Coturnix japonica: one gene and its partners. The protein of the gene in region 1 interacts with the protein of each later gene in a pairwise test. Links are inferred from orthologs where the notes say so. Each region holds a gene or a part of one and is shown in the gene's direction. Other genes may lie near its edges.

What was found.
Region 2: the proteins of LSM3 (region 1) and CLNS1A interact in binary tests that used the Homo sapiens proteins (3 or more experiments, as listed by UniProt). The link is inferred for Coturnix japonica from reciprocal best matches to the Homo sapiens genes LSM3 and CLNS1A.
Region 3: the proteins of LSM3 (region 1) and LSM10 interact in binary tests that used the Homo sapiens proteins (3 or more experiments, as listed by UniProt). The link is inferred for Coturnix japonica from reciprocal best matches to the Homo sapiens genes LSM3 and LSM10.

The regions. Positions count from the first base shown.
Region 1 is NC_029527.1:8,367,201-8,371,495, forward strand, and holds LSM3 (U6 snRNA-associated Sm-like protein LSm3), read left to right. Parts: upstream 1-1,453; 5' UTR 1,454-1,530; coding exon 1,531-1,551; intron 1,552-1,840; coding exon 1,841-1,951; intron 1,952-2,907; coding exon 2,908-3,003; intron 3,004-3,313; coding exon 3,314-3,394; 3' UTR 3,395-3,702; downstream 3,703-4,295. Other genes in the region: XPC (DNA repair protein complementing XP-C cells), read right to left, coding at 1-63, 941-1,139, 1,339-1,453. UniProt on the Homo sapiens protein: Plays a role in pre-mRNA splicing as component of the U4/U6-U5 tri-snRNP complex that is involved in spliceosome assembly, and as component of the precatalytic spliceosome (spliceosome B complex).
Region 2 is NC_029516.1:172,769,502-172,773,751, forward strand, and holds the start of CLNS1A (methylosome subunit pICln), read left to right. Parts: upstream 1-1,332; 5' UTR 1,333-1,403; coding exon 1,404-1,522; intron 1,523-1,684; coding exon 1,685-1,821; intron 1,822-3,319; coding exon 3,320-3,427; intron 3,428-4,122; coding exon 4,123-4,233; intron 4,234-4,250. UniProt on the Homo sapiens protein: Involved in both the assembly of spliceosomal snRNPs and the methylation of Sm proteins.
Region 3 is NC_029538.1:3,590,784-3,593,706, forward strand, and holds LSM10 (U7 snRNA-associated Sm-like protein LSm10), read left to right. Parts: upstream 1-1,461; 5' UTR 1,462-1,569; intron 1,570-1,833; 5' UTR 1,834-1,840; coding exon 1,841-2,212; 3' UTR 2,213-2,330; downstream 2,331-2,923. Other genes in the region: protein OSCP1, read left to right, coding at 564-703, 1,186-1,249, 1,336-1,452. UniProt on the Homo sapiens protein: Appears to function in the U7 snRNP complex that is involved in histone 3'-end processing. Increases U7 snRNA levels but not histone 3'-end pre-mRNA processing activity, when overexpressed. Required for cell cycle progression from G1 to S phases.

The DNA.
Region 1 (4,295 bases):
TCTTTTTTAATAGGAGATTCTCTCTTCAACTTTACCTCCTTCTGAGGGGCCTTCACTGAGTCACTATTAAAATTACAAGAATGGTTTTAGCATCAGGAAGTGCATGGGTTTGTTCATTTAAAAATGGAAGGGAATGAAAACAAAAATGAGGAAATAAACAAAGCATCATCTCTGCATCAGTAACAACAGATGTAAAGGTTGTAAGTATTTGACAACTGAACCGTGTGTGTGCCTGTAAAGCGAGCAGTCTTTGCCATGAATAATTACAGGCTCGTTGAACAACAACGTTTCAGTGCAGACACAGGTCCTGGTTCTAACAGGTTGTTTGAATGAAGATGACTGAACCTAAAAACAATGACCCATCTTTCCTAACAGCTTGTATGAATGTCTTCATTGAATCATTTGTCTTTACTGAGACCTCATAATGCACTGGGATTGGAAGTGCTTGTGTTTCACTACGCTAACACCCAATGATTTGGTTGGCCAGTGAAATGAGACCAAGCAGCTTCATTCTTCTCATTAATACAATCCCCCTTGAAATCTCTACAGGAAGACCATATATCTCACAGCAATGTTTCTGTTCATGCTCGATGCCATAAAACCTCCCTAGTCTTGTGTAGAAATAAATGAAACGCTATCTTACAATTACGATATTGATTTGAAAAGGCTCAGATATTTGCTTCCCATGCAGACTGCCTTCCTCAGACAGATCCTGCCATCAGCCAGGCAGTACTTCTGTACAGCTGTGTGTCACAGACAAACTAAACTGGCCTGCCAGCTTAACGTAACCCCTTTATGTGAACATTGTAGGGCAATGGACCCTACACAACAACCACAACATCCAACCCACAACAACCACAACATCCAACCCACAACAACCACAACATCCAACCCACAGTGAGGTACAGAGCGCATCATGATGAACAACAGCTAAGCTTACCTGCACTTTTCCTCTTCGTGATCATCCCCTTTATTTTCAGGGTCTCTCTCATTTTCTTTCACTCGCCCTTTTACCCCTTTTTGTTTTGAAGGCTTCTCTGCTAACTTAGCAATTCCAGCATCACTGTCTTCCTCCTTCTTCCTAGCTGCAACTCCGGCTCTGCTCTTCTTTACACTGTGTTTTTCTTCAACAAAATCACCTACATCGAAAAGAAAGAAATTTTCTTCATGGATATAACCTCATCCCTATGGATACATAGCAATATCTCTGCAGGCTCCAGCAGAGCTGCACTGAACAACTCCAGCCCCGGCCCATCATGGGGGGCTGCTGAGCTCCATGCTGACTGCCTCCCTCCCTCAAAGCAGAGCAGCCCCAGAAGCCGAGCCTCCCACACTCACCCTCCTCACGTTCCTCCGCACCATCCCGCCGTACTCCCACCCCTCCAGGCCGCCTTTTGCCGGCAGACACCCGCTGAACCGACGCTTTGCGCTTCCTCGCCATAGCGGCGAGCATTACCCCGCCCCTTCAGAGCGGGGGGAAGAGGCCGGGCCATAAAGTATCACGAGAGAGAGCGAGAAGCGGTTTGAAAGATGGCGGACGAGGTGGATCAGGTGAATGGCTCTTTACTTTTCTTAGGGGGGAGCGGTGTTTCTGCGGCCACCCCGGCTGCCAAGTGAGGTGGTGAGGGCCTGAAGAGAGAGCTGGTGGGTTGGTGGCACATCCGTGTGCCTTCCCTTTGCCATATGCCGTGCTGCCGTGTTGGTTTGAGCCATGCAGCCTGTCTGCTTCTGTGTGGATACTGGGACTTGAGGGAGCGTTTCAGAATGCAAACTGAGGAGTGGAGGAGTTCGTATTCACTGCTCCTGCGTGAATAACTGCTTGTTTCGGTGTTGTTTTCAGCAACAGACAACGAATACCGTCGAGGAGCCCCTCGACCTCATCAGGCTCAGTCTGGATGAGAGGATCTATGTGAAGATGAGGAATGACAGAGAGCTCAGAGGCAGGCTGCATGTGAGTGCCAATTCCAAGCAGGCAGCAGGCTGTGCTGTTATGTGCAACTATTTGTTATGTTACTGTAATGTGCTCAACAGCAGCGCTTGGTTTGTGCAGTGTTCTGCCAGAGATTCAAAAGGTGCATTTTGTTTTTCCGTGTCTGTTGTCTTTTAAATGATTCCAAGTGATTCGTTCTCTTGATTTTTGCTTTTATTCCCATGTCTGTGGACTAAGTAATAATGCAGGCATCATCTCATAAAGGACTCTCGACTCTGTTAAGATGGAAATAAGTATATCAAGCAACTGTCTTGTAGAGCAAACCCAAGGACTGCTGGGATGTGTACTCAGCTGGGTTCTCTCCATACTTGATTTGTTCTTTGTTTTCTTTTGAGAGCGATGTCTCTTAGTGAGACAAACTTTTGTTTTCTGTTTGGTTGTGTTATCCTTCTGGAATGTGGTGCTGTGCTGAGGAAGGGAACCAGTTTCCCATGTGGTAACTGGGCCTCAAATACATTTGAGAACAAAAAGGTGAGGACAGATCTGTGATGCACTGGTATAATTCCTAAGTTCCCTTTGTAGGGTGTTTGGAACAAGTGCTTAATTAAAATTTATGTATTGTTGTTTGAGTTACAGCTCTCATAGCTATAGATAATCCAATCCCAGAAATCTGGGCTGATAGCAAATAATATTTAGTTGGATTAATGCTAACGACAAGAACAAGTGTGTCCACCTCTGAGAGTTTGTGCATGAGCTTCAGAAGGAGAGTTTCAGTGAGTATAAGAGCCTTCCTTATGCTGTGGAGTACTGATGTTGGCCTTTATAGTTGAAGTTACAGCTGATACATCATGTTCACACATGGAACATCTTGACCCAAATCAGGTTAAAATAATTTTGTTTGAGTGTCTTGCTAGAATTATGGATTTAATGAGCTTGTGCTTGAATTTTGGAAGAAGTAATGAACTTTGTTCCTACAGGCATATGATCAGCACTTAAATATGATTCTGGGCGATGTGGAAGAAACTGTAACAACAATAGAGATTGACGAAGAAACATACGAAGAGATTTATAAAGTAAGGACTTCAGTGTATTTACCTCCATAGAAAACTTCTTGCAATCTAGATTGTCATGTTGTCAAAATAATGTGTTGATAACTGCACCTTTTGGACTAGGATCTAGCAGGTGTTTTAGGCAAATTGTTATGAAAGCACAAAGGACATCCAGGTGCTTGTTGATTTTGATATCTTCAGCAGGACGCGAAGTTGCATGTTTGAGCTGATGTTTGTTGGTGTTTTTTTAGGATTGAATTTTGTCACATGCTTAGTAGATGTGTTCTGTATACTTCTCTTTTGTAAATGTAATCTTTTCTTTGCTTCTTCATAGTCTACCAAAAGGAATATTCCGATGCTCTTTGTCAGAGGTGACGGCGTTGTGCTTGTAGCTCCCCCGCTGAGGGTTGGCTGAAGCAACCAAGGATTGAACCTTCTTGGAAGGTTTCAGGCTCTTGGACGATTTGTTTTGATCATGTCTCAGAATTGCATACACTTTTTAATAGAACGTTTTTGCCTATTTTTTGTGGAAGAGGAATGAGTTTTTCTTGCAGAAAGTACCTGTCAGCTGAAGCAGTGTGAAAACCTCATTTTCCCCTGAATTAATGTAACTGCTGTAAATGAGCTGTGTGTGACATAAGTAAAAGCACCCTGTTTTTTCAATCTTGGGAATAGCAGTGTCTTTTTTTGTTTGTTTTAAATAAATTTGGTTTACCTTTCAGATTTGATGTGTTATGTTTTTGTTGAAAAGGTGATTTTAATGAACTTCTCTAGTGCTAATGCTGTATTAAGTTGTGATAATGTGGCTTTGCTTCCTGAGAAAGCAGTGACTTGTTTGGTGTTTTGATTTTTGTCCATACTGAAGTTTTCCAGATTGATGTTTTGGAGGAGGGCAACACTGTGTTGGTCTATGGTGTACTAATCTATGGTTTTATGTAAACATATCCTTGTAGGAGAGAAATTCTGTGTCCTGCTTAAAATGCATTGATAGAATAGAATTTTTACAGCTTTTTCAGATGCTTCTCTTGCAGCTTTGTTAGCAGAGCAAAGCTTAGCAATACCATCAGTAGGAAACAAATTTAGTAGCCTGATTTATGCATTCATTTGCCACCATTTGTAGCCATTTTCAGTTCTTGAACACATTAAATTCTGTAGAAAACCAAAGATGCTTCCTGGTTATCAGTGGGTGCACAAGAGCCTTGTACACTGCTTTTTTTAATACATAGTTTCTCAGGCCTTCCTGATTGCACTTTATTCTCATGGTGGGGCTGGAAGGGGAATGAATGTTTTACTTGGAATGGCTATGGAATGTTTTA
Region 2 (4,250 bases), on another chromosome or scaffold:
TGAAGGTCCCTTCCAAATTTGCCTTGCCTTCCCTTCCCTACCCTACCCACCATACCCTGATCTTTGAAGGTCCCTTCCAAATTAACACCTTGCCTTGCCTTCCCTTCTCTACCTGAAGGTTCCTTCCAAATTAACACCTTGCCTTGCCTTCCCTTTCCTTCCTGAAGGTCCCTTCCAATTAACACCTTTCCCTTCCCTCCCTTCCTTTCCCTTCCCTACCATACCCTGATCTTTGAAGGTCCCTTCCAAATTAACACCTTGCCTTGCCTTCCCTTCCCTACCTGAAGGTCCCTTCCAATTAACACCTTTCCCTTCCCTTCCCTTCCCTTCCCTTCCCTTCCCTTCCCTTCCCTTCCTCTTACTCTCTCCACCACGTGAGCACCCCACCAATTACACACCTTCTTACTCCCCATTACCCTTATCTTCCCCACTCCGTTAACTTCTCGTCACCTCCTGAGCGACTCAGCTCCCGGGCGCTAGAAAGCGGACAAGGGATGGCCGGCCACAGCCCTGCCCTAGGGGCACCTCCAGCCACCTGCAACCACGCCCAGACCTAGAGGCCAAAGACAAAAAAGACCTACGCCGAGCCCCTACGCCAATATGAACACAAATTCTACCCTGTACCCTACCCCCACCTCTGAGCCCTACGCCACCCTCCTACCCTACTAAATGACCTACGTGCAACGTTAGGCCGTACCGAGCAGACTCCCACCCGCTGGGTCACCTACTCCCTAAGTACCCTATGCCTAAGCCCCTACCGCTAATCTTTCCCCAGACCCTAAACGCCATACCCCCTGCCGTACCGCTGAGCCCCATCTGGCCTACCCTACTAAGACCAAATTTAACACCTCTTCTACCCCTAACCCTCTTTACCACACACCCCACCCTCTACTCAGACGCTAAACCCGCCTAGCCTATCTAACACTAACAATTTATTCCTCCCCACCCTACCCAGAACTCACCGCGTCAACACCAATACCTACCCTACCCCACCCCACCCTACCCAACTCTACCCTACCTACAACCTACCCTATCCCACCCCACCCTACCCAACTCTACCCTACCTACAACCTACCCTACCCTACCAATTAACACCTTCTACCCTACCCTACAACCTACCCTACCCTACAACCTACCCTACTCTACCCCACCCTAACCCTACCCTACCCTAACACCTCCTACCCTACCCTACCCTACCCCACCCTACCCTACCAATTAACACCTTCTACCCTACCCTACCCCACCCTACCCTACCCGCCACAAGATGGCAGCGCTGATGCACGGTCGTTTCGCACCATAGAGTCGGATCCAGAGCGGCCCGACAACGCCGCCATTTCCTTTTCCGGCGGCGGTGGGAGGGAGGAAGAGGAGGAGGAGGAGGGGGAGGCGGTGTTGGCTGCGCCATGAGTTTCCTGAAGCGGTTCCCGCCGCCGGCCGATGGTGTCCGGCACCGGCAGCCCGACACGGAGGCGGTGCTGTCGGGCCGCAGTCTGGGTGCCGGGACGCTCTACATAGCAGAGAGGTGAGCGGGGTCTATGGGGGCGGTTATGAGGGCTGTGGGTGCGCTGTAGGCCGCGGGGGGTGCGCTGAGGGGAACGATTGGATTTGATTTGCTTCTCTCCAGGTTCAGGTACTAATTTCTAACTTCTCTCTTACGTGTGTTTCTCTTTAACCCCCTTTTTAGCCGCCTGTCATGGCTGGAAAACTCAGGAGTTGGCTTCTCCTTGGATTATCCCACCATAAGTTTACATGCTGTCTCCAGGGACCTGAACGCGTACCCCTGGGAGCACCTGTATGTCATGGTGAACGCCAGGTTTGAAGGTAAGGCCCACCATCCCTCCCTCAAAAAGGGAATTAGTTTTGCTTTTTAAAGCCTAAACCCTTAATTCAAGCAGTATCTTTTCATCTCCGTGAAGGATAATTACAGTAGGGCTGAAGTTTCATTAAAAGACAGTGATTCGTGTTATTGAGCTTAATAGATATTCATAGCATTCCCACTCCTGCCAGACCCTTTAATGCTTTTAAGTCTCATCAACTCTGCTGTATTGTATCATTTGAAGAGCAGTGAGTGCTAAGCCTTGAAGAAAGATGTTATTTCCAGCTTCTAATTGTTACAGTGATACTTGAAAATCTTTCCTGTGATAATTCCAGTCAATAAAACCTCAATGAGTTGACATAAAAGAATTCAAAACCTCGATAGATCGACATAAAAGAATTCTGGCCACAGTAGGTGCCCAGCTAAGGGTGAGTCTGAGTGTTCAGCTCTCATGTCTGTCCCTGACCGACCCATGGTTTTAACTGTTTAAAACAGTGTTATATGGAAACATCACTGCTTTGCTGGCTGCAGGAGTCTTGATTTTCAGTTGGGCACAGTACATCTTGTTCTTCTTTGGATGTTTTAGTAGTGCTCTGTGTGTATATTTGCCTCATTTTCAGCCTTCTTTAGAGGAAGGCAGGCAGGGGTTGACTTGGTTGAAAACAAAGAGCTGGATGTAGCAGCAGCAGCAAACTGAGCATGGGGAGGTCAATTCCAAAGGGACTGGGTGAATTCCTTGGATGTATCATTGTTTGGCTGGCAGCTTCTTGGCATCTTCGTGTTCTTCTCGTTGCCAGTTCTGTTCATAATAAAAGCCACTCTTTGTGAATACAGCTTTACTCTAGTCCTCTTTTGCTGTAGAAAGTAACCATGCAGTTTTGAAGCTGTCAGTTCAACCTCCCCAGCCACAAAGGGATGAGCTGTAAGCTGTATCCTGCGTGGATTTTGTTTTTACGGAAGTAGAACATCGTGTTCTTGCTCACTTATTCAATTATGTGGTACACAGTAGTCAGGAAGCAAAGTTTTACCCGCAGCTGACATGGGCTGTGGGGAGACTTTTTGCTTCATTGCTTTAGTGGTTTGCTAAGAACACAAGAAATTGAGTATGGCCTCCTGTCAACGTCAGTCCTATGTGGGAGGCCAGACTGGAAACTGGCTGATCTCAGGGCAGCAGTGCAAGGGATCCCTAATACCTAAGATTCTTAAGTTAACGATTGTATACGTAGCTCAACCGCTCTGCGGTTAAGCAGTAAGGATTGTGGATTACATGAATGCTATAGAAAACTTGGCTCCTCAAATTGAAAGCAGAGTTCTTGTGTGCATTGCAAGCTTCTCCAGGGTGCTGTGAGAGGACCCTGTGTGTCTGCAGATGGATGGGAGCAGGTTTGTTTGTTGCAGGCTCTGTCCGGGTTTCTGATTTGCTTATGGTTCTAAAGGTGCTAAAGCTGTCTCTTTTTTTGGATAAAATAATCATTTTTCTCTTTTAATCTGAATTTCCTGAAGAGGAGGAGACAAAGGAGGCCCCCATGGCTGAAGGGGAGGAGGAAGACAGCGATGATGACATCGAACCAATTGCAGAGTTCAGATTTGTGCCTAGCGACAAATCAGCCTGTAAGTGATGGGGAAGGGGTGCTGTACCTGATGTGAATGGCACAGGCCTTCAGTGTCTTCTTAGCATTTAATTAGGAACATGCTAATGTTCAGATGCTACCACTGGAAAACAATCATACCCTGTCTTGTGGGGAGCTTCCAGTTGGATCCAATTTCTAAGCATCTGACACATTAGATACTGCAAGGACTCCTGAGGTGGGTAACCACTGACTGAGTTGCTGCTGTTGCCTCTGTTGAACCTTTGTCATCAGTGACATGATGGAAGCATGCGTGGAGAACTAGGTTGGATTAAATCTGATGTTAATCTGGAGAGTCTGGTCATGCCACATCTGGTTGCCACCTGTTGTGACTTCCTAACCTTGAAGTGTGCCAAGCCCTAATGTCAGATCAGACTTCTGATTTTCAACCCTTGCAAGTAGAGCAACTATTAAAATACAGTGCAAAAGCTGCTTCTAACAGCATCTTAGCTGAAGTTGCCACTTCCTAGCTGAGGAGGGAGCCTGATTTTGCAGGTGTGGTTCCTGGAAGTCCAGCTGTGCTTCCAGCTGCTGGGTGGAACTGCAGGTTCCCTGCTCGCCAGCTGAGAGGCGCCAGCCCTACTGAGCACTTGCACTTCACAGCTGCCAACTGAAAGATAACTCCTGGTGTCTTTCCTTTGGGCTGCTTGCTGAGATGATTCTGTTTTGTTCGTACAGTGGAAGCCATGTTTTCAGCAATGTGTGAATGCCAAGCTCTGCACCCAGACCCAGAAGATGAGGATTCAGACAATGACTACGAAGGCGACGAGTATGATGTGGAGGCCCGTGGTTCGTAAGAGTTGTTT
Region 3 (2,923 bases), on another chromosome or scaffold:
GGGCAGTTTCACTGCACCCATCAGACTTTACATTCTGTTTCCCCCATCTCTTAATAGCTGGGGTCACTGGATCAAGCACACACGCTGCCCTTCTCCAACTCATTCACTGGATAGCTGCATTCTCTTTCATTTATCTCCTTTCTCATGTAACATCATTTGAGTTAGTGCTCTCAGGGTACCTGTTTACTTCTTTCTCTCCAAACCTCAGCAGTTCTCCATGACCCCATCTGAGTGAGGCTATGGGCACGTTTCCCTAAGTAATAGTAGACATAAGCTGATGAAGTGGCCTGCTGAAATCTTGCTTCCTCTTTTTAACTTCTTCAGAAAACAGGGAGCTGAGTTTGCTGATTTCACTTTGATTTAGCTGGAAAACTGCCTTGTCCTGGGTCTAGAAATTCAAGCAACCACCTTATTAACCCATGACTAATAATGATGAGTTGCCTGTATCATTAACAGTACATGAATGTGTTTGTGTATATTGAGGTAATATGAGAATATAGTAGCTTTGTTAGTCCTCTTCTTCCTGGTAACCTGACCAATGAACCCATTGCTGTTTTCTGCAGGAGAATATAACCCCTAACCCTCTTGCTAAAGAAGAACTGAACTTCTTGGCCAGGCTGCTGGGAGGTCTGGACATCAAGAAACCTAGTGGCAGTGAGACAGGATTCCGACTGAATTTATTCATGACAGATGAAGAAGAAGAGTATGATGCAGCTGGTTGTGGTCTGGGGGTTGTGATTTAATGATACGTGGACAAAACCTGGAGGCTGAAGCTGATCCTTAACAGCTTTAATACTGCCTTCAGGTGATGCTGGGGCACTGACAGTCTGGTGTGTGCCTTCAGCACCCTTAGCTTTCCTGTCCTACAGTCACTTCAGAGAGATGCAATAAGTGAAGGGAGGTGAGGAGGCAGATAGGCTGGAGCACTGCAGCCCCCTCCTGGCAGGGAGACGTTTCCACTGCTTTACATTTAGCATCAGAAAACCCAAAGCAGGGTTCAGTCTCCAAAATGGGATCAGCATCCTAGTTTGCCTGCTAGAAACAGCAGTGCTGTCTAAATTTCTCATAGGTACGAGTCGCTTACCACCTTCTTGCATGGACCATTGAAAAACACTACTGACCTGTGGAACGGGTGGGATGTGACAGGATGGCACCACATTAAGCACTCTATATTTTCAATTAAAGGCAGGCGGCGCTGACAAGACCCGAGGAGTTCTCATACAAGGTTGTGAACATTGAAGCCACCGAGGTACGTTCAGCTGCAATTCACATACATTCAAACTACTACGATAAGAGCTTTATTTATCGCCTGGCTGAGCCTTTATCTCTACTCAGGAGCCGGCGAGGAGAGCGGAGCTGGATCGAATCATGGGCGACCTGCAGGTGGCGGAACAGTGCGAGGAGAGCTGCGGGAAGGGAGAGGACCTGCTGGCTCTGATGGACGGGTTGTGAGCCATTAAAGGCGTTTCTTCCATCCTGCCTCCGAGCCGACGAGTGGGGCGGGGACGAACGGGGAGGGATCAAGCGGGGCAGCGAGAAACAGGGGCCGCCCCTTCATGTTGCCGGGCGGTGAGTGGGATGGGGGCTAAAAGTGGGGTGAGGGAGCTGCGGGGGTGAGTGTGGGTTTTGGGTGGGGGTCTGAATGTGTGGGGTGGGAGTTGTGTGAGTGCATAAAGGGGGTGGGGGCACCCCTGTGTGCAAAGGGGGGGATGTGATGAGCACTGGGCGTGCAAGGGGAGGAGGCAGGCGATGGAGCTGCCATGCTGGTGTGTATATACACGAGTCCTGCAGGTGGAGGTGCTGGTGGTGCATCTCCCCATTCATATGCTGCAGCCCCACCATGGAGGTCAGCCACTCAGTCAAGGAGCGCACCATCGCCGAGAACAGCCTGGTGATCCTGCTGCAAGGTCTGCACGGCCACGTCACCACCGTGGATCTCCGCGACGAGAGCACGGCCACGGGACGAGTGTCCAACGTCGACGCCTTCATGAACATCCGCCTGGCCCAGGTGACGTTCACGGACAGACGAGGGGAGGTGTCGCAGCTGGACGAGATGTTCGTGGCGGGCAGGAACGTGCGCTACGTGCACATCCCGGATGGGGTGGACATCAGGGCCACCATCGAGCGGCAGCTGCAGGCCATCCACCGCGTGCGCTACTTCGGGGGCCGCGACAAGGGCAGGAGGGAGTTCCCTCGAGCCAAGCACAAATGAGCCCCATTCCTCAATCAACAGCCCAGCTTGGAAGCTCCATCCCTGTGTAATGGCAGCTACTCCTTTATCCCTGTCCTTATGTTTTTCCAGCTCTCAAACAAAGCCCTTTTGGCCTCAGTGCTTGGCTCTGCAGTGATCATTGCCTATAGGCTCTATAGGGCTGCCAGCTACTCCTCCATCCCTCTCTTTATGTATTTCCAGCTCTTAAAGCCCTTTTGGCCACACTGATCATTGCCTACAGGCTCTATAGGGCTGGCAGCTGCTCCTTTATCCCTCTCCTTATGGATTTCCAGCTCTTAAAGCCCTTTTGGCCTCAGTGCTCGTTGCCTATAGGCTCTATAGGGCTGTATCTATAGCTCCTGGGGCCTGGCTGCCTGCATGGGCCTGGTCTGAGGGTGGGCAGTGGGCAGTGCATGGGGTACTGCCATCATGGCGTCCATCTTAAGGCCTAGCACCACGCATGGGGGCGGTGGAGCAGTGCGCATGCGCGGGTGGGAGGGGGCGGGCCTTGAGGTGTTTCTCTTCCAATCAAAGCGCGGATAACATCCCGCCCGCCGACCAACCCGCTCACACAGCATGCACCAATCAACGGAGAGAGTTATCTCTCATCAGCCAATCAATCATCACCACTCAGCCAATTAGTGCTCGCCTCCCATCACTCTATCAACACCCCTCTCGCAGCCAATCACATCCGGGCGCTGCTTCAGCTAT